4 linked regions of the Drosophila melanogaster genome follow. The protein of the gene in region 1 purifies or fractionates together with the protein of each later gene. This does not show direct contact. Each region holds a gene or a part of one and is shown in the gene's direction. Other genes may lie near its edges.

Evidence for each region.
Region 2: the proteins of Scp1 (region 1) and Tsf1 purify together in Drosophila melanogaster (affinity purification with mass spectrometry, with the first as the bait; one large-scale study listed by BioGRID). This does not show direct contact.
Region 3: the proteins of Scp1 (region 1) and CG14207 purify together in Drosophila melanogaster (affinity purification with mass spectrometry, with the first as the bait; one large-scale study listed by BioGRID). This does not show direct contact.
Region 4: the proteins of Scp1 (region 1) and Pgk purify together in Drosophila melanogaster (affinity purification with mass spectrometry, with the first as the bait; one large-scale study listed by BioGRID). This does not show direct contact.

The regions. Positions count from the first base shown.
Region 1 is NT_033778.4:2,965,048-2,970,072, reverse strand, and holds the start of Scp1 (sarcoplasmic calcium-binding protein 1), read left to right. Parts: upstream 1-2,020; 5' UTR 2,021-2,089; intron 2,090-2,728; exon of another isoform or gene 2,729-2,756; intron 2,757-2,881; 5' UTR 2,882-2,926; coding exon 2,927-2,978; intron 2,979-5,025.
Region 2 is NC_004354.4:18,385,358-18,390,857, forward strand, and holds Tsf1 (transferrin 1), read left to right. Parts: upstream 1-1,726; 5' UTR 1,727-2,591; coding exon 2,592-2,691; intron 2,692-2,766; coding exon 2,767-3,009; intron 3,010-3,216; coding exon 3,217-4,312; intron 4,313-4,374; coding exon 4,375-4,759; intron 4,760-4,822; coding exon 4,823-4,924; 3' UTR 4,925-4,987; downstream 4,988-5,500. Other genes in the region: Nt5b (5' nucleotidase B), read right to left, coding at 5,438-5,500.
Region 3 is NC_004354.4:19,603,197-19,611,217, forward strand, and holds the start of CG14207 (uncharacterized protein), read left to right. Parts: upstream 1-2,002; 5' UTR 2,003-2,307; coding exon 2,308-2,486; intron 2,487-6,266; coding exon 6,267-6,293; intron 6,294-6,941; exon of another isoform or gene 6,942-6,966; coding exon of another isoform or gene 6,967-7,058; intron 7,059-7,184; coding exon 7,185-7,266; intron 7,267-7,331; coding exon 7,332-7,427; intron 7,428-7,499; coding exon 7,500-7,694; 3' UTR 7,695-8,021.
Region 4 is NT_033779.5:2,747,067-2,754,707, reverse strand, and holds the start of Pgk (phosphoglycerate kinase), read left to right. Parts: upstream 1-1,639; 5' UTR 1,640-1,713; intron 1,714-1,867; exon of another isoform or gene 1,868-2,263; intron 2,264-3,718; exon of another isoform or gene 3,719-3,794; intron 3,795-4,560; exon of another isoform or gene 4,561-4,629; intron 4,630-5,394; exon of another isoform or gene 5,395-5,496; intron 5,497-5,915; 5' UTR 5,916-6,326; coding exon 6,327-6,388; intron 6,389-6,452; coding exon 6,453-7,397; intron 7,398-7,455; coding exon 7,456-7,641. Other genes in the region: Bacc (bacchus), read right to left, coding at 1,048-1,293. UniProt on the Drosophila melanogaster protein: Enzyme of the glycolytic pathway. Glycolysis is essential in glial cells but not in neurons; neurons rely on the citric acid cycle for their energy needs, and on lactate and alanine secreted into the hemolymph by glial cells to fuel it.

The DNA.
Region 1 (5,025 bases):
AGACTTATCAAACAGAAACCAGACCTCGGAAATCATAATAAAAAGAAAAGGGAAATACGTAATTATCAATAATAATAGTTCTTAAATTGGCTAGGTCCCAGGTGAAAATACATAGCGGCCACTCCAGATCACGATGACCTGGTCATAATAGAGCAGAGCTCATTGACAACAATAACCAACAAGTCATTGTTTACAAACAAGAAAGAATAAACAAACTGACTACAGTATCTAAAGCTCTAACAATTTCTATACAAAAGGGCAGTTCCGTTCGTTTAGAAATTGCTCTTAGTTTACAAACCCAGATTAGACTCCTAAAAGTAGAAACTGCCATCCAGTGGGCGCGACAAGAGGTCGTAACACACTAGTACTAAATGAAGATGAATTAATTGAAATAGAAAGAATATTTAAGGGAAACAACATGTTATTACTATCGATGAAAGAAGCTATGGCGTTTTCCGAGGTCTCTATTCTACATAATAAGACAACACATTTGTACATCGTAAAAGTCGCAAACTTTATAGAAATACTAAGATATCATTGTAAAACCAATAGTTAAAAACAACAGAACTACAACAACTTAGACTTTCAAGAAATCTTTGCTTTCGAAAATCTTACCTATATATACATATATAAATATGCGATGAGAAAAAAATTGTAAATATAAGAAATTAATTAATTAAATTAGTTGATTGCTCTCCAAATTTAGTTCTGGGAAAGAAAGATCTGTGTAGTTTTAGCAACTCCGACAACTTATCCAGAATGGAAGAGGTCGACGACGGAATCATCCTATTAAACGATTACGATGGAATCATATCCTGGATCCTCACAGAGCTTCACCTACTTTGTTTAGCTATCAAACGACTCGATGATTATCGACAACAGGGGGATTCGCCAACTTGGAACCTACAGCCCTGTCTCCTAGTTCGCCTCTTGTACAATTTACAGATGAAGAAAAAGAAAGACTGAGGTTATATCTCTTGAAACACTGAACCGTTGCATATACATAAAAGGCCAACAGCATAACCCTACTGACGCTCTTCGACAATACTCTGATTATCATCCTGGGCCTTCACACCTATAGTCAAAGGAAGAGAAGCATAAACTTGCAGCTTAGACCTATACCGGGAATGGAAACAAAAGTTAACATCAGCTACCTCAGTTCAATAACATTCCCTACATAAATTAGAAAGTTAAAGTTAATAACAATGAATTCAACATCGGTCTACAACAGAATGTAATAGAGTAACAAACCCCAAATATGCAAGCTCAGCGCCACCAAGCAGATTTCCCAAAATGTGTTTGGCAATTGTTTCCGCTCCCACCAGCGCTTGTGATTCCAAGAAGCCGACGTCGATCCTCTGCCAATAAGGACAGCACAGCCGACAGCTAAAGACTCGCAGCTTATAAAGACGATGTTCTCACTTAAGTTTATAGTCCAACTCTTTTAATGCTCGTTACTCATAGAGTAAAAGGGTATACTAGATTGGTTGAAACAGGCAGAAGAAAGCGCTTCCGACAATAAAATGTATATATATTCATGATCAGGATCAATGTATCGATTTGCAAAAAAAAATTTTGCCACGCCTACTCAAACGCCCCAAAGCCGACAAGCCGGTCACCCCCGCACTTTTGAAAAATTGTTAGATATTTTTCATAATTTTATTGGTCGTGTATATTTCTATTGATTTGCCAAAAAACTTTTTGCCACGCCCACTCAAACGCCCTAAAGCCACCAAACCGGTCACGCCCACACTTTTTTAACAATTTTTTATTTTTTTTTCATTTTATTTTTTTTCTAATATCAATCAATCAATCGATATCAATCGATTTTCCAGAAAAATTATGAACTTTCGCGTTAGCATTGACCCTAGCTTAGTTACTGGTATCTGATAATCAGGGAACTCGACTATAGCCTTCTCTCTTGTTTTATATTATTATACCCGTTACACGTAGAATCAACGAATCTAATTTTACTCTACACGTATGGGGCATAAAAACATATATATATTTTCTTATATGTATATATATTGTTTTTATATAATATTATATCTTAACAGTAATAGACAACTATAGACCGCCGATCACAATGGTAATAAGACATAAAACTGTACATTTGAATGTTGAATATTGTATCTCCTATATATGTATATGTATATGTACATAAAACCGAAAATAAGAATTGTGAGTTTTATAAAATGTGTGCTTTATAATAGGTTATGCATGTACTATAAATATATACTTGTGAATATACATGTGTGTAAGCTTGCAAAAATAGTAAATATTTTTCTATTAATAATCATGTCAATTAATTATCAATTCTTTAAATGTTAAAATGATTTTTGATATATTTTACTATTAGTGTTCAAATACAAAATTAAATAGGGGTGAATTGTTCGCTTTTTTTCCATTTTAAATGGTTAATTAGAGCATAATCTATATGGAAACTTTCACGAATAACATTGTAACAGGTAGGCTTAATATTTGGTAGTAGAAAACTGAATTGTTATTGATTGTGATTTCAAAACAGTGCTATAGTTTACTTAATACAATAATTACATTTAGTACAATGGAAACTCCTAATTAAAAATAAACTACCTTTTGAAAGAGAACAAATATATACAAATGCACTTTCTATACAATACACATTTGTATGTATAATGTTTAGATACATACCATGTAAATAATGTTGCCAAAGTGTACGACTTTTGGCAAAAGGTTTAGCAAATTTAGTTAGTCTGAAGTAAGCTATTCCGAAGGTAAGGAGCTCATATTTACTATTCAAGAACTTTTTACCTAAAAGTACTATTTATAGATACCAAAAAATTTTAATTTATTTATAGACTTTTATTAGTTCAGATAGTAATGGTATTTCTACTTTTAGCTATTTACATTTTATGAGGATAAGCTCCAAACAAATTCCGTCATAATGGCTTATTCCTGGGATAACCGTGTCGATTTTGTCGTTCGGTATATGTATGGTGAGTAGAAAAGGACTTAGGCTTATTAAACGTATCCTATAGTGAATTAAAATACCTTAAAAATTTACGTATATTTTATACAAAAAATTTAAGTTTATATTCCATTGCATTGAATACATAAAGCCATTTTTATACATATCTTCGGAACTATCCGAAATCCGATATTTTAACAATATATACATTTTATTTTAATTTTATTTAATATGGGACGACTATATCATATAGCTGCATTAAGAACTGCTTGAAAATTAAACACCCAAAATAGAATATAAATAAAAGTTTCGTTTTTTAACACTATGGGTGCTAAGTAGACATATATGTTTTTGTAATTACTGAAAGGGTATTTGGATAGGATTAATCAAATTTGCAAGCGCACAAATACAATAAAAATAACATTTACAATTGCTGCGGATCAGATTTATGTAACAATCTCAAGTCTGGCAATTTAAATGTTGCGCCATATTTATGATGTAGTTTTATAATCCGTTAAAATGAGGTCACATGGAACCGGTCAAGTGGTCATTGCAGCTTATATGAGGTTAAGCCAAAGACATTTGAAGAACAAGATGCGTAACGCCATACAATTTTTTGCACACAATTTTATCGGGATGGCTCCAGAGGTGGCTCAGCAGTTCTTTTCTACGCATACAGTGACAGCCGACAACTGTATGGTAATGCATTGTAAATTTGACAATTTACAAGTTCATAGACTTTACATCTGTATTATCTTTGTTTAATTGGCAACATGTAAAAAATTCTTGGCTTGCATGGCCTTAACCAAAGACCCTAGTGTCTAGTTTCTTTGCCTTAACTATATTATTATTTGAATATATATGTACATAATATCACAAAATAAATTTCAAAGATGACTATATTAGAACAAAGGTTATTAGGGCGTTCACTTGCCCCTTGTGAAAAATTAATAAGGCAATCATTGTTGCAATAAACGTGTTCGTGTCTCAAGATATGACTTTTGCAATAAAAAGTTTTCATATTTTTATTCATTTTATAAATATTTATTTTCTACTACTTATTATTTTTGTGAAATATCTTTTCCTCAATGTAATGACTTCTTTTTGGAAAAGTTATGTTTTAATTTAAAATTTTATTATTTTATTTTATTATCCGTTTGATTAAAGCTGACTATACGCCGAGCTTCTCTATTTTTTGAAAGTTTCGCTATATAACCTAGTTTATATATTTAATTAAAGTCGTTTTGTTGCAATATCGTACTTTAGGTGATATATTCAAGGTGTAAATTCGTAATTATTATTTTATTTTATCATATTGCTAAGAAATTGGGTATACTAGGGTATACTAGACTCGTTGAAAAGTATGTAACAGCCAGAAGGTAGCGTTTCCGACTATATAAAGTATATATATTCTTAATCAGGATCAGTAGCGGACATGTCCATCTGTCCGTATGAACGTCGAGATCTCAGGAACTATAAAAGCTAGAAGGTTGAAATTAACCATACAGGTTCTAGAGATAAAGACGCACACTCATTTTTTCATATTTTTATTAGGCTTTAAAATTTCTATGGATTGGCCACAAAACTCTTTGCCACGCCCACTCTGACGGCAGGTTACAGCTAGGTTATGTTGATCATTAACCGAAATTATATTAGGCTAAGTTAAGCCGAGCTTTAAATCTCTCTAAATGCCTATGGGACTCTTGTGGACTCCAAATGGCAACCTCAACTTCACTTGGTCGTAGGGAAAATATTTCAGAGTGTTCAGACAACACGGTTTTCGAGTGTTCGCTTGGATCTCCAATCGCTAAGCTATGAAATCACTGAAATCTATATTCATTGTTAATGGTTTACAATATTAATCTTTGTGCAAATTAAAAGTGTTCCTTTTTAATTATTTGAACAAAAAATTTTTATTTTATTATAATTTAATATTTTATTCATGATAGACCTTTTCACTTATACTATTACAAGACATTCTTTTTATCTCTTGTCTTAAATTTAAAACTGTTCACGATCTCGTCCCGATTCAGACTGATCTTCTAAATATTAATCCTAATCCACTCAACCTTGGC
Region 2 (5,500 bases), on another chromosome or scaffold:
TTGTTATTTGATTGTTATTTATCATTCTTATCATTTTTTAGTTCAACAAGTTTAACATTAGAATGTACAAAAAGCAGATGCACTTAAGCTCCACAAATGTATAGCTGGAAATTTACTTGCATTGCAGTGCTTGCATCTACAGAGCGAGTGCTGTTAAGTTACAGTGTCTTTTTCGCGCCATAACTGCAGTTTGAAATGCTATGTAACTATGTAAATGCATGCCAAAAATGTAAAAAATGAAAAGTGTTATAAACAAATTATTCTACATTAAGTTAAAGCTAATGAATTTTTCATTTCATATATAACACATTTAACAAAATATTATTTTGTTATATACTTTTATTTAAAATAGTAAGTATCACTGTTTCAAAAATGCCATTCGATTTGCAATTTGTACTTAAAATAAGTGAGTAGCAGTGCTTCATTTTTATCGCATACAATTTCCCTGATGAATGCCTTTTCCGTGCGGTTAAATAATGCAACGAAGCTTTTGCGCTGACAAACACACTTTGTGCTGGGCGTAGCTCCATTACCTCCCTTCTATTACCTGGCTGCAGATAGCCTCCGTGCCAGAGGACTGCTGATAAGAGGCCACCTCGGACTACTCGGAAAAATCCCCAACCCATTGCGATCCGGGTAAATTCCCGACCGCTCCGGGGCTCTTGACCTTGCCCAGTGCGAAGTGTGTGTGTTTGCATCTGCGGCACTGCCAAGCAATCTAATTCGGTTTCTGGTTTCGATTCCACTAGAAAGATCCCCGCCCACGCCCACGTCCCAAGTCCCACGGCATTTGCCATTGTGATCTCGTTTTGCACTTCATCATTCAATTGCCGCCCCCGCGACTCATTGCCCAGCCACGCCCCCTCCCTCAAAGGAGGAGGCACGGCCTGCATTTTAAGCAGTTCGTCAATTCTCTGCTGGATGTGGACAGTTCTCCACAGCTCCTCTTCGTTGCTCTTACTGCAACGAGCCGGTGCGGGTGACTAGCTAGGTGATCTGATCCCATCGTGGAACAGGTTCTGTGCCCGGCCTGAATAAACAAATGCCCTGATAGCGGGGCGAAATTGAAGTATATAAAACTAGAGACGAGTGCGAAAGCGAATGTGAGTGATATGCGAATAGCGCATACTCTCACTTTTTGCAGAAGCTTAAATGAGCTCCAAGTTTATCCACTCGAAGTTTATCCCCTGCATTTTTAGGAATATAAAACAATTTCGCATAACATATAAATCTAGATTTTGCTTGCAAATTATCTAAACGCAGTGCAATCATTTAAATTATCATAATAAATACTTGCACTTTTCAAATTGGCCATCTCAAGATCGTAGTTATGCGTCCAATTAAAAATTCAAAAAATATCCCCTCGGAGTGTATAAATAAAAGGCAATTACTCTTAATTTGTTTACTTCCAAGAAGAGTGAATTTAAAGTAGCCGAATCATTAGATGAATGCAAATGCAAATGAATGATGAAAAATGGGCTGGCAAAAACAGAACTAAAATAAGTGACTAAAGTACGTATGCCCCTGGGACTAAGGGCTCGCATGATTAACATCCATGGATTGGGAATGGATGGGGATGGGGTGGTGGCTGGCTCCTCGTCGCTCCCACCGTGGTGACTCAACCGGTTGCTGCAACTACAAGCGACTAGAGAAGATTTTGCCCGTTTATTTGGCAGGGTAGTGAGTTCTTAGAAATTGAAGGCACCAGTGCATTTATATAACTCAATAGGCACAAATAACCAAGTGCCAGTCGGTGCGGTGGCATCAAATTATTCAGGTATATAGTATATGGCTCGATCGATTAGGGGATCAAGTGCCAAGACAATTAAGTGAAGAGCAGCCAGGCCGTTTCTATCTCGATTTTAGCTGTATGTCAGCAACTACGCTTTTTGACAATCGCAATCAAATAGTTAAATAGGCTATTTTTAAAACCTATTCACTGCAATTTTTCCAGCTTAAATGTTCGTAAAGAATGTGCTTAAGAAATTAGTGTGTGTGCCTAAATAAATTCTGTCAAGAGAAAGCGCTGGCTCAATGAATCAATGGCTCAATGGCTCATTGTTTGATTATTGCCAAGATCCAAAACTAATTACCAAACACACAAATGCTGCAGGCTAAATTCTGATTTTGATCGATTATATTGTCGATTATATATACTATATATTGTCTCGAAGACAAGCAAAAAGTCGAACTTAAGGTAGATCATGGATTGAGTAGCATACTAATTGATTTGCGAAAATCGCATTTAATGGCATAGCCATATATCAGTGTCGCAAACTCGTTTGCCGGAGTATATAGGCCTGGATTGCCGCCCACTCACGCCTTTCCTCGGGGAAAAACCGGTCGCCTGGACTGTCTTTCTTTCTTTATTGTTATGATTGCTATTATTATTATTATTACTATTATTATTGGTATTGGTATTGGTATTATTGTGCCTCCTTGTCGCCGGGCAAATAGAAGCGAAAGAGAACAAATACGAGTGCAAAAAAAAAGAGCACGAAAGCCGGGGAAAGAAGCAGCACATCTGGGTGGCTATAAAAGCCACCAGCCGGCTCCGGATTCTCCACAGTCGAGCTTCAACTGTTTCTCAGATGATGTCGCCGCATAAGACCCACACCTGGCTGCCACTGGCGGTGGCCGCCCTCCTGCTGATCCTTGGACCGCAGTCCTCCCTGGCGGAGGAACCCATTTGTATGTGCATCCCGGAGTCACTAGTTGAATGCATCTAACCAGTTGAATCCATTTCATACGAACCCAAAACGGCAGATCGCCTGTGTGTGCCGCAAATCTATTTGGCCGAGTGCCAGCAGCTGCTGGCCGATCCCTCGGAGGCGGGCATCCGCATGGAGTGCGTGGCTGGACGGGATCGAGTGGACTGCCTGGAGCTGATCGAGCAGCGCAAGGCCGATGTGCTGGCCACCGAGCCGGAGGACATGTACATCGCCTATCATCGCAAGAACGAGGACTATCGCGTGATCTCTGAGATCCGAACGCAGCAGGACAAGGATGGTAAGTGGTGCAAATGCTCGTGGGAGCAAAATGCGAAATGCTTTCGAATGAAATTAAAGGGTATTTAAAATGTATAGTACTGACTAATGACTAATGGCCCTTTGTTGTTAATTTGCGATTCGAAGCAAAAGGCTCGAAGGACCAAAATAGTTACTAGTTCCCTTTTTTTTTACTCATAAATCTCCTACTGGTTTCATTTCTCGACAGCCGCCTTCCGTTACGAGGGCATTATCCTGGTGAAGAAGGACTCCCCCATTCGCACCCTGCAGCAGCTGCGTGGCGCCAAGTCCTGCCACACTGGCTTCGGCCGCAACGTCGGCTACAAGATCCCCATCACCAAGCTGAAGAACACGCACGTCCTGAAGGTGTCCGCCGATCCGCAGATCTCCGCTACGGAGCGCGAACTGAAGTCGCTGTCCGAGTTCTTCACGCAGTCGTGCCTGGTGGGCACCTACTCCACGCATCCGGAAACGGATCGCCTGCTGAAGAAGAAGTACGCCAATCTGTGCGCTCTGTGCGAGAAGCCGGAGCAGTGCAACTATCCGGACAAGTTCAGTGGCTATGATGGCGCCATACGCTGCCTGGACAAGGGTCAGGGCGAGGTGGCCTTCTCCAAGGTGCAGTACATCAAAAAGTACTTTGGTCTGCCGGGTGCCGGCCCAGATGCGCCGCCAGCGGAGGGCAATCCGGAGAATTTCGAATATCTGTGCGAGGATGGCACCCGGCGCCCGGTCACCGGACCCGCCTGCTCCTGGGCCCAGCGCCCCTGGAGCGGCTACATCTCCAACGAGCAGGCCGTTCACAACTCGGAGCAGCTGCACCAATTGCAGTCGCGTCTGGAGCGCTTCTTCGCCAATGGACTGCAGGCGCAGAACAAGGACGCCGCCGCCCATCTGCTCATCCAGCCGAATGCCGTGTACCACAGCAAGGATGCTGCCATCGATCCCAAGGTCTATTTGGAGCGTGCCGGCTACAAGGATGTGATCGAGCGTGATGGCAGTGCCATCAGGAAGATCCGCTTGTGCGCCCAGAACGACGACGAGTTCGCCAAATGCCAGGCGCTGCACCAGGCTGCCTACGCCCGCGACGCTCGTCCGGAACTCGAGTGCGTTCAGTCCACCGATTGTGTGGTGGCTCTGACCAAGAAGGAGGCGGATTTGACCATTGTTCGCGCAACTGGCTACGCGGATGCCCGTAGCAACCAGCTGCAGCCAATCGTCTACGAGCAGAGGGCTCAGGATGATGTCCTTGTGGCGGTCGCAGCACCCGGCGTTACACGGGAGGCTCTCCAGAAGGCCAGCATGTAAGTGGAATCCCTCGATCATCCGTAGCACATTAGCTACATATACTATCAATATTCCGCAGCAAATTCAATGAGAATTGCGAACGATCCCGTGCTGCTGCCGCCTTGTTGAACAAGCGACGTGGCCTGGACGCTTGTCGTGTCTCATCCAGCGACGATGGAGAGGTGCAGATCGTGCCCGCCTCCGAGCTGGAGAAGCACAAGGACGCGCAGCTGGTGTGCCCCAGTCTGGAGCGGCGACCGGTCACCGACTTCCGTGACTGCAACGTGGACGTACAGCTGCCCCGTGCCATCTTCATCCGATCGGACACCACCAGCGTGGAGCAGGAGACAGTGAAGCATCTGTTCTCGCTGATCTCGGACAAGTTTGGTGCCCGCGGCAAGCTGGTGGATGTTTTCGCTCTGTTCGGCGAATTCCAGAAGGGCAAGAAGAATGTGTATTTCAACGTAAGTTATCCTCTTTCCTTATTTAAGCTTCGGCGTTTAAAAAGAAAACAACTTTCTCTGCAGGACAAAGCCGTTCAGCTCACCACGGAGCTCAAAAACGAAATCCAGAACGAGCAGATCTACACAGATCTCCAGTGCAATGCTAACAAGATTGCCAAGCAGTGATCACATTTTATACTACTAGATCCCACTATCTGCATCAATAAAATTTAATTCGAATATAAACAGATATCACGTCTTAATGCCTACTTAAGGGAAAATCGAAAAAAAAAGTTTAGACCTATTAAATATGGCTAACTAGTTACCAAATACAATGCTACAAAGTTTCCCAGCCAATTGGCTTTTCACACCACTCATGAATTATTCAAAACGAATTGTTCTCATTCAATTACAGCAATTTATGGTTTTCATTTTTAAAAAAAAAAGACACATTATATGTATGGAACCAGCTAATTTATAATGTATAATGTATATATATATATATCGGTTATGGTATATAGTTTCACATATCTGTGCTTGGGTAAAATCGCCAGGGAAAATCGTACGTTTCATAATTGCTTCGACCACGGTGTGGATTTCGGGTAAGGGTTTGCAAGGCTAATGGGGGCATTGGGGAAGTTTGAGAATAAAATTCGTTGATCCAAACATTCCATTCCAGAAGGGCGGCTGTGGCATCATCTAGTCTTCGGAGGCATCGCGCACAGCCTCTGTGGAAGACTCGGCACCACTGGGTGTCTCCTC
Region 3 (8,021 bases), on another chromosome or scaffold:
AATTTATGAAATCAAACAAAATTGATTTGAATGATTTGAAAAGGCACAAAATACAATTGAATTAAGACTGAAACGTGCACGAATGTGCAAACTTGGAATCCTCTTTTCAAAAATTAATTTTGTTTGAATACCGATATGTATGCTTTGTGGGGACACTGGGGACTTCAAGGTCGAGATTATTGATGAAAATGAGTTTGTTGTTTGGACAGGGGGCATTAGCCATTAGCCATTGCGAGCATGTGGGCGCTGTGAAAAATACATATGTACATATGTACACATGTATGTATGGATGTACAATGAAAACACCTCAGCCGTTAAGCCACGATGATTGTCGTTTTATTTTCGAAATTCGTGATTAAGTCTATAATTATTTTGATGGCACAACTGCCGTTGTCCCCGATGGAATTTCGAGCAGTAAAACGGTCACGGATTCAAAATATTGCATTTTAATATGTCGCACTTGCACTTAAAAAAAAAAAACAAAAGAATGTAAGTTATGTGCAGGCAATAACAGCTTTAAAAGATATCAAATTTCCAGCTAATGAGTTTTCTTATGGATGAGAGATGCAATTGTTAAGTTGAAGAAAAATCTAGTTTGTCTAGCTAAATATGCATATGGTTCATAAAACTTATGAATATATATCGCACATTTTTTCTGCAGTTGCAACTTTGCAATCCGGCTCTCATTAATTTCAATTTAAATTTTAATTCCCCTGGCCGACGCTCCCTAAAAGGAATTGAATCGAATCGAATGGACTCGACTTGGCTCGATTCCCGATTCTCGACTCCGACCGCCAATGTCACGCGGCTGAGTCATTTCGCATTTGTTTACAAACAAACCGATGCGGCGGAGTGGGTAGTACCATGGATATGGCCAAGCACACTGGCAGAAAACGACACAGATACTAAGATACTATAATGCCTCTCTGTTAGATTAGGAAACATATCCTATTATAGCTAACAAGCTTACAACAGTACAATTTCCAATCTTAGCTCAGCATAGAGATATTTAAATTTACATATGTATATATGACATATATTTTTCTGCGTGTATTTGGGCCGCCAACGTTCTCCACCCACCCGGTCTAATATTGGGATTTATCGATTCGCACAATGGGCGGAATTGGCTTTTTGATTTAAGGTCTTAATGATGATGAGCTCTGGGTGTAAGTAACCCCGCGAATATGGACAAGATATCGTGGGCCATCACGCCATAGATGTTCTATTTTAGGACGATGGATAATGCCAACCCACCGCAGGACGGAAAATGCACTTTCCACCAATGTGCAACTCTCTCTCTCTCTCTCTCTCTTTCTCTCTATACCGAAGATCATTTCCCAAAACGGTAGGAAGCGTTGATCGGTTAACCGGTTAACTCAACACGACTCATACTCACACTTTCCACTCGCACTCACAGCACACAAATGCTGAACCAGATGCAATTGGAATCACAGTTCGAGGAACTCACTTCCATGACTGAATGGCTCCCACGCGAGAAGTTTTAAGCATACTTATCAAGATCAAGTTGATCATCAACTAATTAATTGTTGCTAATTGAACACTTGTTCCTAGAAAGTTTTTTAGGAGCTTTGAAATGTGTTATGTTATTTCATTGCATTTATGAATTACTAGCTTATTAACGGAAAATAAATCATGGCTTCCTTGTTTTCGGTCATTTTGTATAAACCAAATTTGTCTTACAACTATTGTTTCACTTCTAAATGTGTTCCCCGTGCGTCATTATTTCCATAAAATACAAAATCAATACAGCGAATATAGTGTTTTGGGTGGTCCGCTAACGATTAGTGGTTAAAGTACGCTTAAACAATTCCCTTTGCGGATAGAAGTTCTTTTTGATCCAATGGCAATAGAAACATAATCAAATCCGCAAATCGATGACTAAATGCGGCTTCATCGGTCTATCGATATCGCCACACTGCTGCGCAGCGGCAATCGAAGTACAATCGGTACGAAAGCTATAAAAGCAAAGACACACTGTGAATGCAAAACAGTTCAGAAATTGAAACGCGGCTATCTGTGCGATACGTCCAACCGAAATCACACACTTGAACGTCTTGAGTTTCGAATACATATAGAAAACCCATCGAGTTCCCTTTTTTTTTGGTTGCTCCGTCGATTAGCAAGTGAACAAGCTCGAAAGCGCGTTGAGCAGAACAGAACAGAACAGAGAATAATAGAACGGTATACAGTATATACAGTATATACGGTATACAGTGTACAGCGAAGAGATTGGAGATTCCATCTAGCGAAGCAACCACCAAATAAACCACCACAAACAGCACAACAATGGCCGAGGCTAACAAGAGGAATATCCCCATCAAGCTGGGCGACTTCAGCGTCATCGACACGGAGTTCAGCAACATCCGCGAGCGCTTCGACTCCGAGATGCGCAAAATGGAGGAGGAGATGGCCAAGTTCCGTCACGAGCTGATGAACCGCGAGGCGAACTTCTTCGAGTCCACCAGGTAAGCGTAATAGTGATACAAGTGGGATCCCAACACTGGGATAATTCCACATAGCCTGATTCTACCGGGTGTACTGCGATGGAACCCAATCCCGAATCGCTCGACTCATCGCCTCGTTGTTGGCTCCTCTAAATATAGGCGCACATCTTGCCACATCGCCCACTGGTCTGGAGCTCTTCACCCACAGATTCTCCTACGTATGTACATATGTACATACGTGCATACATACATATGTATGTACTAAACAGTGGGCCTCATAGGAGGCGAGCGGCCCGCTTCAATTCTCGCCCCAGATACACTATGTGTATTTCTTTGCCGTCGCTCTGGGGGAGGATGAGTCACCAGTTCTAAATTCTCCGCCGCTGTCTCCGGCCAAGAAACACATGTGTATCTGCTGCCCGCCACCCGCTAGTAAATCCCCCTCCCCCGCCCCGGCACATGGCTAGCCAGCGTCTTGTGCCCTCCCCTTTCGCTCGATCTCGAGTCCCATACGGTTTATGCAACCGTTATGTAGGGCATAACGGAATTTTTCGAACTTTGAGAATCACCTGTGCCAAGATATTCCGTTATATGTGTGTGTGTGTGTGGGTTTCTAGCTGAGCAGAAAAATGTAATTGTTGATAATGAGATAAGATATTAAAATCTGGTCTCTGCGAGCAAAATTAAATATTTGAAAACGCAAAGCATTGAAACGATCGGTGGCACACATGAATAATGTTCATTAAATCTCTAACTATTTCCATTTGTAGTTACTTGTTTTTAAAGCATACATAAGTGACAAACGCGTTTACCTAGCAATCTATTTCCATTTGCAAGTCAATTAAGTGATTCGGCGGTATTTTAACACCCTCGCATATTCATACGAATCAGAGAGAGGGAGAGAGAGAAATTCCAGTTGAATGTTACGAGTGGCATTTTCAATGAACATAGGTTTATTGCCCAAATCAGCGATTAATAAACAAACAATGCCCCAAAGGCGAATGGCAAATACTATGTCGCCGACGCCGTCGCGGTTGCGCGTCTCGTTAGCCTTTCCATTGGAGTTGCGTTGCGTGGGCGCCAGTTTTGGTTGCTATTGGGACGACCTCGCCGTATGACGCAATCGAACCGATGGACTCTATTTGTTGTTGCCTTCGCCATGGTCGCCACTGCATTTGCATGGCCACAACAGAAATGTTACGACTCCACCCCCCTCCCCCCCACCAGACTTCCGTCTGTTTCAGAACTTGGTAGCGCTCCTCTCCACAACTTTGCCCATTCAACGTCAAAGTTGGCAGTGAAAGGAAATTAACCCAAATTGGTATTGTGCCCTCCTGGCTGCAAATTTAATTGGAAATGAAGGGAAACTCACAGTGGCGGCATAAGTTGTGCGCCAGGGCTTGCTTCGGGCGATTAGCCTAATAATCGCCACAGATTGGCCACGTAGTTTAGTAGCTTAGTAGTAGTATTGGATATATACTTGCCAAATAATTCAATCATTCGCCCATAACTGCCCACTGTCCGCAACCTTTGACCTAAGCGGCTTGGCTGTGGCTGTGGCGTGTTGTCAATTGAAGCGCTGCGTGATATCTGAATGACTCAGCACGGAATAAACGCACGCCCCATATACAGGGCAATAAATCCATACAGGTAGGTGTATCTATGCCCTACCGAAGTTGCCACTTGAAGCAATAGTTTATGCTTTTAACTGGATACATTCCCAACAATGTATATTTTATTATTATGGCATAAGAAAAACATGTTTACAAACATGCAATTCCTGCGTAGCTGCCAAAAGCTGTTCAGGCCATTTGCACATTTTAAATAAAACTTTCTTGAACATATGTATGTATATACATACATATGTGTATGTATGTACGTACTGTCACATACTAACGATAGATTGTGTGTAGTGCAGGGCCTCATTTAACCAACTTGGCCATAAGCAAAGACCGCACATCAATGCTGGCGCCTTCAGATATGAACAATGTGCGGATTCAGATGGATTTGGATGCGGTTCCCAGTAAAATAGATTGGTGCGATTATCTCATGCAAATGCATGGAAATTGTATTGGCCAGATCGGATCGGATGGGATGGGATGGCTACCAAACATAGGCAATGCCAACGGTTTGCCTAATTTATAGACTCATTGTGTGTGCGCACAGTTTAAACAAATAAGTGCGCTAGGATCGTACATACATACATACATATGCACATATTTAACCAGCAAATAGATCTGTGCGAAAAGCTTTCGCACACACGGACAGTTTTCAGTTGCGATGAGCACACGCTGCGGCGATTTAGTTGCCAATATTGTTGGCTGGATGCTGATAATTCAAATGAGCAGCGAACTGCGATGATATCATGTCAATTTTTAGCTATTGCGCTGCGCTTCGACTCGATGCTATTCAATTCGATTTCAATCGATGACAAAACGCCGATCGTCGTCGATAATCGATATTTTAATTCGACATTTGTTCACACACACACGCACACACGCGTACACCGCAAACAACTAAAGAGAGCCATTTTGTTTGCGCTTGTTCTGGTTTTTTGGCCGCCTCTCGCGCCCGTGTTTATTTTCGTTCTTCTTTGGTTTCCTTTCGTTTGGCTTTTCAATAACGAAAAAATATGCATGACATCATTGTCATCAGATGCCAGCGAGATATTGTAGTCGCACCACACACACACAACTCACACACATGTAAAAACGTGGGCTGGCCGGAGAGGGTGGGAGTGAGAGCGGCTGCCAGAGTGGGAGGGCAGGTGCCTCTTCATGCTGTCCAAAGAAACTTTGGCCAGGCGGCTAACGGTTATTGGTACTTATCATTAGCGCGCTATTGATTTCTCTCTTCGAGGGGCGATCAACCTCGCAAAGCACATTGCAAGGTCGCCAATAAGCCCACGCACGTTCACGTTTCGGCTCCGATTGATAAGCTTTCTCTGCCTCTGCTCAGAATTTGCGGAGTGCCAATTGATGGCCGCTTATCAACGACTCTCGCTCGCATGCACACACACACAGATACACACATACATTTTGGCTTCATCGCCGACACGCACAGCGGCTTAACGGTCAATCAAATCCCGTAAGCTAAGAATGCAAATTAAGGTGAACCATAAAAAATATTTAAAAAAAAACGACTTACCTATCAATTGATGTGAGAGTGAAGTGAAGAATACAATATTATTTAAAATGAAATCACAAAATTTTAATAAGTGTAGATTTACTAATTTGAACTAAAAATAAAAATTATTGTGAAAAAGCAGTGCGACAAAATGTAATACAAAGTGAACAATTATGGACCAATGAATTATTTCCTGGGTAAATATGTAAATATTTTATGCATACTTTCCTCTATTGTAGGTAATATACATATTCTTTTTTTTTAGATGCTATGCTTGAAACACTTGGATCTTAATAGATAAACTTGCATTCTAAAGGAAATTGGGGACTGGAAGTGCGGAAAACAAAGGAGTTATCATTAATATATGTACATATGCATAAGAAACATGTACCAAAAATGATTAAATATTAATTACAAGAAAACATATGAATGGCTTGAAATTTTCATTGATCATTGTTAAAAATTCCAGAACTTTAATATCGAGTCAAGGCTGTACCTTTATAAAATAGTTAAAAAATTGCTCACCCTTGTACGATAATGTGTAGTTATCTTTTTGTCTAACTCATTATAAACAATTTCTATCTATTTTTCTCTTTCTTGCCGCTTGGAAATATTAAACAACCGCAATAATTTCCACATAATAATAATCTCCTCTCCTCTCTCTTAAAACAAAAGCTCTACTAAAAAAACAACAACTACCAGGTACAATAACGTAGAAAGTTTACAACCTAAACTTTTATTTTCTGTTTATCCTCAATGTTTTTTTCATTCACTCAACCCCTTATTGTTTGGTAACTAATGTATTGGTTTAATGTTATTGCAATCCACACAGACTAAACTAGAAACTCGTTACCAGATGCATCGCATGTTAATCGCCAAATATACACTATAACATTTATTTATAAACAATTTTGAGCCCGGTATAGACGCAAATACATAACTAGAAATGCATACAGTTCGTTTAAAACTAAAAGATAAAATTATAAAAGTTGTAAGTATAGGCAGTTTTTCATAATAGAAAACCGTTTTGATGCGATCCATACATACATATGTACATACATAGATACATATGTATGCATACAATTTCAAGGAAGCAAGGAATAGTTTTATTTGTAGTCTAGATACATGAAGCCTTAATTCTCAATTCCCTTATGGGTAGTTCCTTAAAATAGAAATTATTACAGACATATGGGGAGATTTATGTTTCGAGGGTGACAGCTGCTGCCCCCAGATCCGTACACATGTACATACATACATACGTACATCGCTTTCAAGCGGAAGCCAGATCTATTATTAGACAGGCGTCGAGCATCGCGGCTTCATTTAAGTTGGGTTCGTTACGTCCGGATCAGTTTCATCCCGGAGAAGCATCAGCATGGAGGCCTTTACGCGCACACTGCAAAATACCTTTCGCAGCACTAGGACCACCAGAACCACTACTACAACAACCACAAACTCCTCCACCAGGTTCCTACCTCACCTACGCAACCCTAACACCTTTGGTTTTATTTCGAGTCTACTTGTTCTTAAGTTTCGCTTCAACACTCAACTGCAATACTCATGTACAATATGTTCGTCTCAACTTATTTGCAGCTCAACGACAAACTCGGCGCTGCCATCCCGAATCCCAAAGCAACAGAACTACGTCTCCGACATTAGCTCACCCTTGATCCAGGTAAGCAATGCAAGGAATCTACTCTTGGTTGCCAAAGGATAACACTTATATATCCCCCTTTGCAGGATGAGGGCGATAACAAAGTGCTGAAGCTGCGTTTCGATGTCAGCCAGTATGCGCCCGAGGAAATTGTTGTGAAAACCGTCGACCAGAAGCTATTGGTAAGTCTCTGCTCAGGATGGTTATGTTTTGCAGAGTTTATCTAACATGGATATCTGATTCCTTTCGACTAGGTGCACGCCAAGCACGAGGAGAAGTCGGACACAAAGAGCGTGTACAGGGAGTACAATCGGGAGTTCCTGCTGCCCAAGGGCGTCAATCCCGAGTCCATCCGCTCGTCCCTCAGCAAGGACGGAGTCCTGACCGTGGACGCCCCCCTGCCAGCACTCACCGCCGGCGAGACACTGATTCCCATTGCGCACAAGTGAAGGCCAGCCCAGTTGTCCAGTTGTCCAGCTATCCAGTCACCATGGTCCCAAGCCGGTTGAGGAGCAATAGGCGCAGGAGGAGCAGGAGGAGTGCGAGCTGCTGCCGATCAGATTAAATCCATACACACATTGAGTTTAATCCAATCCTATCTAAATGATTAATTTTTTTGGTTCTGACTTAAAGCTAAACTATGTTACTGACGTACTACTCATTAACTTAAATATAATTGAAATTATTATTAAATTTGATTAATTTAATTCATATTTATAATTTTCGCATTAAACGTAATCAATTTTGCCGTAGTTGCCCCCCATTGGTTTTCCTTT
Region 4 (7,641 bases), on another chromosome or scaffold:
TCATTATTCAATTGAATCCCGAAGAAACCCAACTAACTTTTGCGACACCCTGTTTAGCCGTCTTGTTTTATGTACTAAAATAAATACGCATAAGGCAGAGCAGAAAAAAAAGTGAAAGATAAATGTAAGCACATACGCAAACAGACAAAACGGTGTGTATACAAATTACGAGGGAGAGAGTTAGCAGCGCTCTCTATTTGTATCTATCTTTCTCCGGGGAGAGAGAGAGAGAGCGAGAGAACGCTCCCGTTAAACTGTACATTTTTATTTCGAGTTTGAGTCTGAGAAAAGCGCTTGATTTGCCAATTTATCTGCCTTACTGGCCGAACTATTTTATTTTTATCAAGAAATGTGCTACTCGATTATGGAATGCGACTGCTTCAGGCCCCCAAAACTTGTTCGAATACCGCGTGCTCTTGGCGATACTAACCAAAAATAAAGTGGCCAAACATGACATGAGTAATTTACCGGCCGGCAATGTGTGTTTTCATTGAGAGAGTGCATTGGCATCGCGCTGAATTGCGTTTGCGTTTGCATTTGCAATTCCCGTAGCCACAGCGACTGATAAATAAGGCCAAGCGTATGAGTTATAGACGTAATGCCACAATGTATCTATTGCTGGGTAACGCTGTTCAGCGGACACGTCAATGCTAATGACCTATGGGTTTATTAAAAACACATTACCCACCCCACCAAAGAAAAGGCCCTGGCTAACTGTACTCCCCGCCTATATAAGCACGGCGGCCCTCCTAACCTCGATTTGAACCTAACAACAATAATCTTTGATTGCCGGACCCGCAATCATCTTGGTTAATCGTAAACAACACAAACGCACAACCGAGCCAGCTATACGCTCTCTCTTTTGGGGGCATATGTAAGCCATTGGGAGAGTGCGCTGTTCCGAAAAACGTGTGTATATCTATTTCTAGAATTTTTCCTCGAACAATGCTATGCTACTGGCATATTGGCTTGGAGTGAATCATTAGAGGGGCCTCCTTTTGGTTTTACCGCGTAAACAACTACCTAGTCACATAGATCAGTACTCACTTCTGCTGGCCTCTTGGTGCCTTTCACGGATTCCTTTGCGGGGGCAGCGGCGGCGGCATCGGCGGCATCCTCGCCGTCCTTTGACGTACCGTTGTCGGCCGCGTCGCCGGCGGCATCGGCAGCAGCGGCCTTATCCTCGGCGGCCGCCTTCGCCTTGAGATCGTCCTTGACAGCAGACACATCATCTGCCGCCACCTTCTCCACGGCCACATCGCCGTTGTTCTGTTGTTCCGTAGCAGCCGACATATTTGAATTGGTTTCTTTGAGGTTTTCCGGAACTATTTAGTTTCTGCGTTATATAGAGAACAATTCGGGTTGGTTTTGTGGATTGTCTTGTTGTTGACAAAAAACCAGCGCAAAATACTCGGGGAAGGCGAGAGAGAGACAGAGAGAACCGCACCGAACGAAGCACACAAACACACTGAATGCGATTCAGCTGCGGGCCGTCTATTTAAGCACTGCCTCTCGAGGAGAGAGTAACTTTCTTTAAACGCTCTCGCTGCTCTCTTTTTCGCTCTCCCCGAAATCGTTACGACGCTCACTCGCTCTCTCTCTCCCACGCCATTGGCCCATACAATACACTCAAAAAATCGCCGCGGCATTTGTACAGCCGCAGTCGATAAGACAACAACAACAGCCCAGAGCAGAGCGATCGTTGGATTTTTGGTATATTATTTTGCGGTGATTTTCTGATAATATAGTATCTATATAGTAAGGCTTTAGGAGGTGCCATATATCAGGCGGCGCTACGGCAGGCAAAAGGATTTACTCGTAGGCCCCACTGATGTATGGAATATCCGTTTTCCTTTGGTTTGCTAACCACCGATATGTGCTCCCGTCGACGGTTCGTACAAGACTGAGCTTGCCGTCCGTTCGATGGCTAGAAATTGCCGCTTGCTTCTTCTTGCGCCAAATCGGTTGCAGACATTTTTGCCTATAACTTGAATACCTTTGTTCGGATCGGTTCAGAGACTGATCGAGGCTATAGCTGGTAGTATCCGCTTAATTTTGGGCTTTTTCCCGAGGCGCTGCGATCAAAACTAGATCCGCAAATGACAAGTTGAGTGGGTTTCCTGATTAATTCCATACAAAATCTGCTTGGGTTCCGTGAGTACGGTTGTGGGCGCGTTTGGCGGTAAATTTGAAAATTGCGCGCGCCAGTGGTGCGCTTGTGGGCCTGGGGGCGGGGTCTGGGGGTTGGTAGCGGCGATGGTGGTGTGTGGTGTGTGTGGTGCAGTCACTCTGTGGCGTTCTGACCGTTCGTCGGTGGAACAGAACAGAACAGAGCAGAACAGTGGATGTGGATGTTGCCGATGGGAAGAAGTGTTGCAGCATTGTTGCCGCAGATGCAGATGTGTGTGCTGTGTGTTGTATTCAGCACGGTATTCGTATTTATAGAGTGGACCAGCGTGGGACGCAATGTCGTCGCGGATTGGGGTCAATTGATTGGTAACGTGTGGGGAAGCAGGTGATTTTCGCGGACCAGGAAAGCGGGCAGCTATTTTTGAGATTCTAACTATTTAGATGCACGCAATCGGGGAAATGCTCTATTCCGGGATTATGCGTCTTAAAACTAGAATTAGAGAACTGGAGAAATAGCAAGAAAACAGCAATTTGCAACCCCATAAGATTCGAAAACATTTAAGGGTTAGTTTTCGAAATCGGCAATTTCCAGAAATATTAAACATCCTTAAGTCCTAATGGCCCCACCAAAGACTTCGACTTAAATGCCAATGCCTATCACTCGTCGAATTGGGTCCACCCTTGACTCTTTTTTCATGTGCCAATCTTTCTGTTGATCCCGCACTTGTGGTTCGACCATTTGATGGTGATGGCTTCGTTCGCCGCACGAACCCAGTGGGTTCAGGAATCGCCCAATATATGGGAAACTGGAACTGCCGAGTAGGCTATAACATATCGCCCATATCACCTGGTAGTCAACGTGCTCGAGTTGTACTGGCTCTTCTCTATAAATCTGTGTTATCAGTGGGACAATCACTGCGAGGTTGATCTTCAAGTTCATTCAAAATGTGCACATTAACGAGCGGAATAACAACCCATAAAGTAATACTAGAGGAATTCGACCGGAAGACATAAGGTTCTTGGTGCTATTTCCAGTAGCCTATCGACGAAAGGGTAATAACTATCGTTTGCCGGGTATCCAACAGTCGAGTTTCGATTGGACAGCCTCTCACGCTTTCAGCTATTTTCGTGCGAAAGCAATGGCAAATACGAATACCTAGGCTATATATCTGGTAATCTGAATAATACGGTCGACGACAGAGCGAGCGGACGACTGTCGACAGGCGGATCGCTAATTAAAACCGGCGAACATGTTCCGCGGCATCCCAACCGAGGCGGCATGGTGAACGTAAACACCTGTAATCGTGGCCCGTCGTCCACTCAGTTATCACATATTTGAGGAGCAGCGATGACTTTTTGCCTGAACATCGCTGCCTGATAAGCCGATTTGCGTCTCCATTTCGCTGTGCTTCCATGGGCCGCCTACCGTTCTTCTCTGGCTGTCACTGTCTCACTTTCCGTCCGCCGAACTCTCAGTATCCGTTCGAGTGGCTTGACGCTCGTCGGCCCAAGATTGGTGGGTCTCTCGCGATACGAATAGTCGTGCTCATCGGGCTTGTGAGACCACCTCTCGGTGTTGAACAATGGTATCTAGATTCCTGAGGACAACCTGTGCCAATTTCTCGAGTTATCGGCTTGGTTGGTACGACCGTAGTTACTTCAAGGTTAGACAACGGTTTCAAATGCAGGCAACCACCGGGTAGGTAGGATCTCAAGCAGGCAGAAATGGATGGATGGTCCTGCTTCCCGGAACCCAAACATCTGTCGATTCGGAAATTTTATGGCCCTTTCGAACACGAAACTAACGCAAGGGATTTTTCCCCGACCGTTGTCGTTACTGACCTGCCTCAGGAATTTCTCCCAGTGCACTTACACGTTGTTGCGTCATTAATTTGCTGTAGCATAAAGGTGCGAACAAATCTCAATGCAAACACAATCGATAGCCAGACGCTTCAGCTAGCATGTGTATCTAAAACACACACATCAGCTTGTATTCACGGCGATTAAGTTTTTCGCTCTTTCAGCTTAATGCGGTGCTTAATAGATTTCTTCTAATCGGGTTGTTAGGCTTTTCAAAAACGGAAGTTTCAGTTCTTTTGACAGCTTTATTTCGATATGATATCATCGATAGCATGGTAAACAATGTATGAAGAGTAGCGCAGCTCACCGTTCAGATACAAAACCAATTGTAGCGCATACGAATAGCCACCATAGGCTGTCCCTTCTAGCGCTTAGGTACCCAACAAGATGGCTGGGTGGAACAACATGAACAGGTTTACGACTCGATTAGAGTGATTGTTAGACTGTTGCTAGATGGGCGATTCGCTTGGTCGCTTGGCTGTTGTTTGGCTGCTTGACTCTCTGGATTCTTGATCTCTAGCGCTAGCACGTCATCGCCGTCGCCGTCGCATTGGACACTTTCGGAGTCGGGTCTCGTTTTCCCGGCATGTGCTAATGTTTCCACACGAGTGCCGGGCCACATGGACGCGACTCGACCAGGTATATGTACTGGCCCGGCTCACCTGCTCGCCTGCGTTTCACCTGCGTCAACGGGCGGTTTACACGCAATTATTAAAATGAATTTAAGCAGCCCCATTGTCTTCGATTTCCAATACCACCTGACCCAGCAGCAGCGCCGTGGTGTCATCACCAGTGGGTACCCGGGTCCTCGGCGGTGCCTTAATTGCGCAGAGCACCACAGCCGTGACGTGTGAGTGGACATTCTTCCGACGGCTGGCTGAAGGATGAAGGAGGACAGCCGCTACCACTGCAATGCTGCATCTGAAGTGCCCCAAATAGGCTTATACGCACCCCAGTCTCCCAGGCAGCCACCCAAAACCCCATCAGATATGGCAATCTATCGATTATTTTAGTGATGTGCTCACATTACAATTGGTCCTTTGGGCAGATTAGTTCTTTGAAAACCCGCCACTTTGGCTAGAAAACCCCCGAATGGCCAGCAACCAACCCAACCTCGTTCGTTCCCATATACCTTACTTTGCCATCTGCGTCATGCATTTCGCTGCACTGAGCACTTGTGGTGGGTGGTGGTGTTCCGTGTGCTGGGTGGTGGGTGGTGATGCGGTGGGTTAGCGTTTGGTGGTGCCAGTGCCGAGTGCCGCCGGTGGTTGCTTGGACCGCCGGAGATGAGTAGAGATACAGAGTGGGCAACAATGAATGAATCATTGGGGGAAGAGGCGGAGCCATCATCATGGCATCATAAGCGGAATCCGTTTGCACAGTCAAAATAAAACAACGGCCACCGAGAAAGATTGTGTGATTTGACTTTGTTGGCCTCAACAGAAATCATTTATTCAATAATTACATATTGACATACAAACATCAAAGGGGCGGCTGTTACATACGGTATGGACATATGTATGTACGTCGTAGATTATTATTATTTATTAAATTTTTTTTTTATTATTTTTATAAATTAATTATAAATTTTTATAAAAAATCACTAATTCGGACTTTCAGTTAAAATTTAACAGACATTCAAGGGTGTGGAAGAAAAAAGTTCTAAGGGGTTAAAATTTATTATAAAAAATTTATTAAAAAAAATAATTTTTATATGTATTTAAGTGAAAATATTATATGAACGGTTTCTATTTAAGTTAATATAAAAAAAATTGTATACTGTAAATAGCAAATGATCAATTAAATGATCTAGTCAGAATATGCAGACATTTATTTTGTTAATTTTTAGCATATGATTATCTATGGACAATATTTAAATATTATGAAAATAATGATATTTTAAATAATAGATTTTTAAATTTTAGAATTGTGTGGCCCCTTTTCGACACCCTTGGAACGGATGCTTCACAGCACTGTGCTGACAGCACTTACCAACACTGCTTGGGCGCCAAATACAGAGTTGCATTTGGAGAGTACAACTTTTATCCAACTTTCGAACGAGAATACAATCCGATACCAACTTCGGACTCCAAAATAGGAGTATACCCAGCTGGATCCTGCGCATGGCACCTACCAATCGGCGGAAAACCGCTTGCCACGGATTGACGCCCTGGAAGTGGAGATGCAACCCTAGCAGCTCACCGACAAAATGACCTTGCGCTGACATTGCCGCACAGCAGTTGAGGACGAAGAAGATTCGCGGAATCAGTGGTATCGCAATCCGGAGTTTGCTAGCACGCACAGGAAGTATCCAGAAAATCCAGAAAAATCCAAAGATGGCCTTCAATAAGCTGAGCATCGAAAACCTGGACTTGGCGGGCAAGCGGGTGTTGATGCGGTAATCCAAAGCCAATCCTCGCGTGAAATTCAGTTGCATAAACATTGCCCGTGCTTCTTTGCAGCGTCGACTTCAATGTGCCCATCAAGGAGGGCAAGATCACCAGCAACCAGAGAATTGTCGCTGCCTTGGATAGTATCAAGTTGGCCCTTTCCAAGAAAGCCAAGTCGGTGGTGCTGATGTCCCACTTGGGTCGTCCCGATGGCAACAAGAACATCAAGTACACCCTGGCACCCGTGGCCGCTGAGCTGAAGACCCTGCTTGGCCAGGATGTGATCTTCCTAAGTGACTGCGTCGGCAGCGAAGTGGAGGCCGCTTGCAAGGATCCCGCACCGGGATCCGTCATTCTGCTGGAGAACGTCCGCTTCTACGTGGAGGAGGAGGGCAAGGGCTTGGATGCCAGCGGCGGCAAGGTCAAGGCCGATCCTGCCAAGGTCAAGGAGTTCCGTGCCAGCCTGGCCAAGCTGGGCGATGTCTATGTCAACGACGCCTTCGGCACTGCCCATCGCGCCCACAGTTCCATGATGGGCGATGGCTTCGAGCAGCGCGCAGCTGGTCTGTTGCTGAACAAGGAGCTGAAGTACTTCTCGCAGGCCCTGGACAAGCCACCAAATCCCTTCCTGGCAATTCTCGGTGGCGCCAAGGTGGCCGACAAGATCCAGCTGATTGAGAACCTTCTGGACAAGGTCAACGAGATGATCATCGGTGGCGGCATGGCCTTCACCTTCCTGAAGGTCCTCAACAACATGAAGATCGGCGGTTCCCTGTTCGACGAGGAGGGCTCCAAGATCGTCGAGAAACTGGTGGAGAAGGCCAAGAAGAATAACGTGCAGTTGCATCTGCCAGTGGACTTTGTCTGCGGCGACAAGTTCGCCGAGAACGCTGCCGTCAGCGAGGCCACCGTGGAGGCCGGAATTCCCGATGGACACATGGGTCTGGATGTGGGTCCCAAGACCCGTGAGCTCTTCGCGGCACCCATCGCACGCGCCAAGCTCATCGTGTGGAACGGGTAGGTGTCACACTGAAGCTACTTCTCCAAATGTCCTATAATGGTTTTCCCATTTTAGACCCCCCGGTGTCTTTGAGTTCCCCAACTTCGCCAACGGCACCAAGTCCATCATGGACGGCGTGGTGGCCGCCACCAAGAACGGCACCGTCTCCATCATCGGCGGCGGCGACACTGCCTCTTGCTGCGCCAAGTGGAACACGGAGGCACTCGTCTCGCACGTCTCCACCGGAGGCGGCGCTTCGCT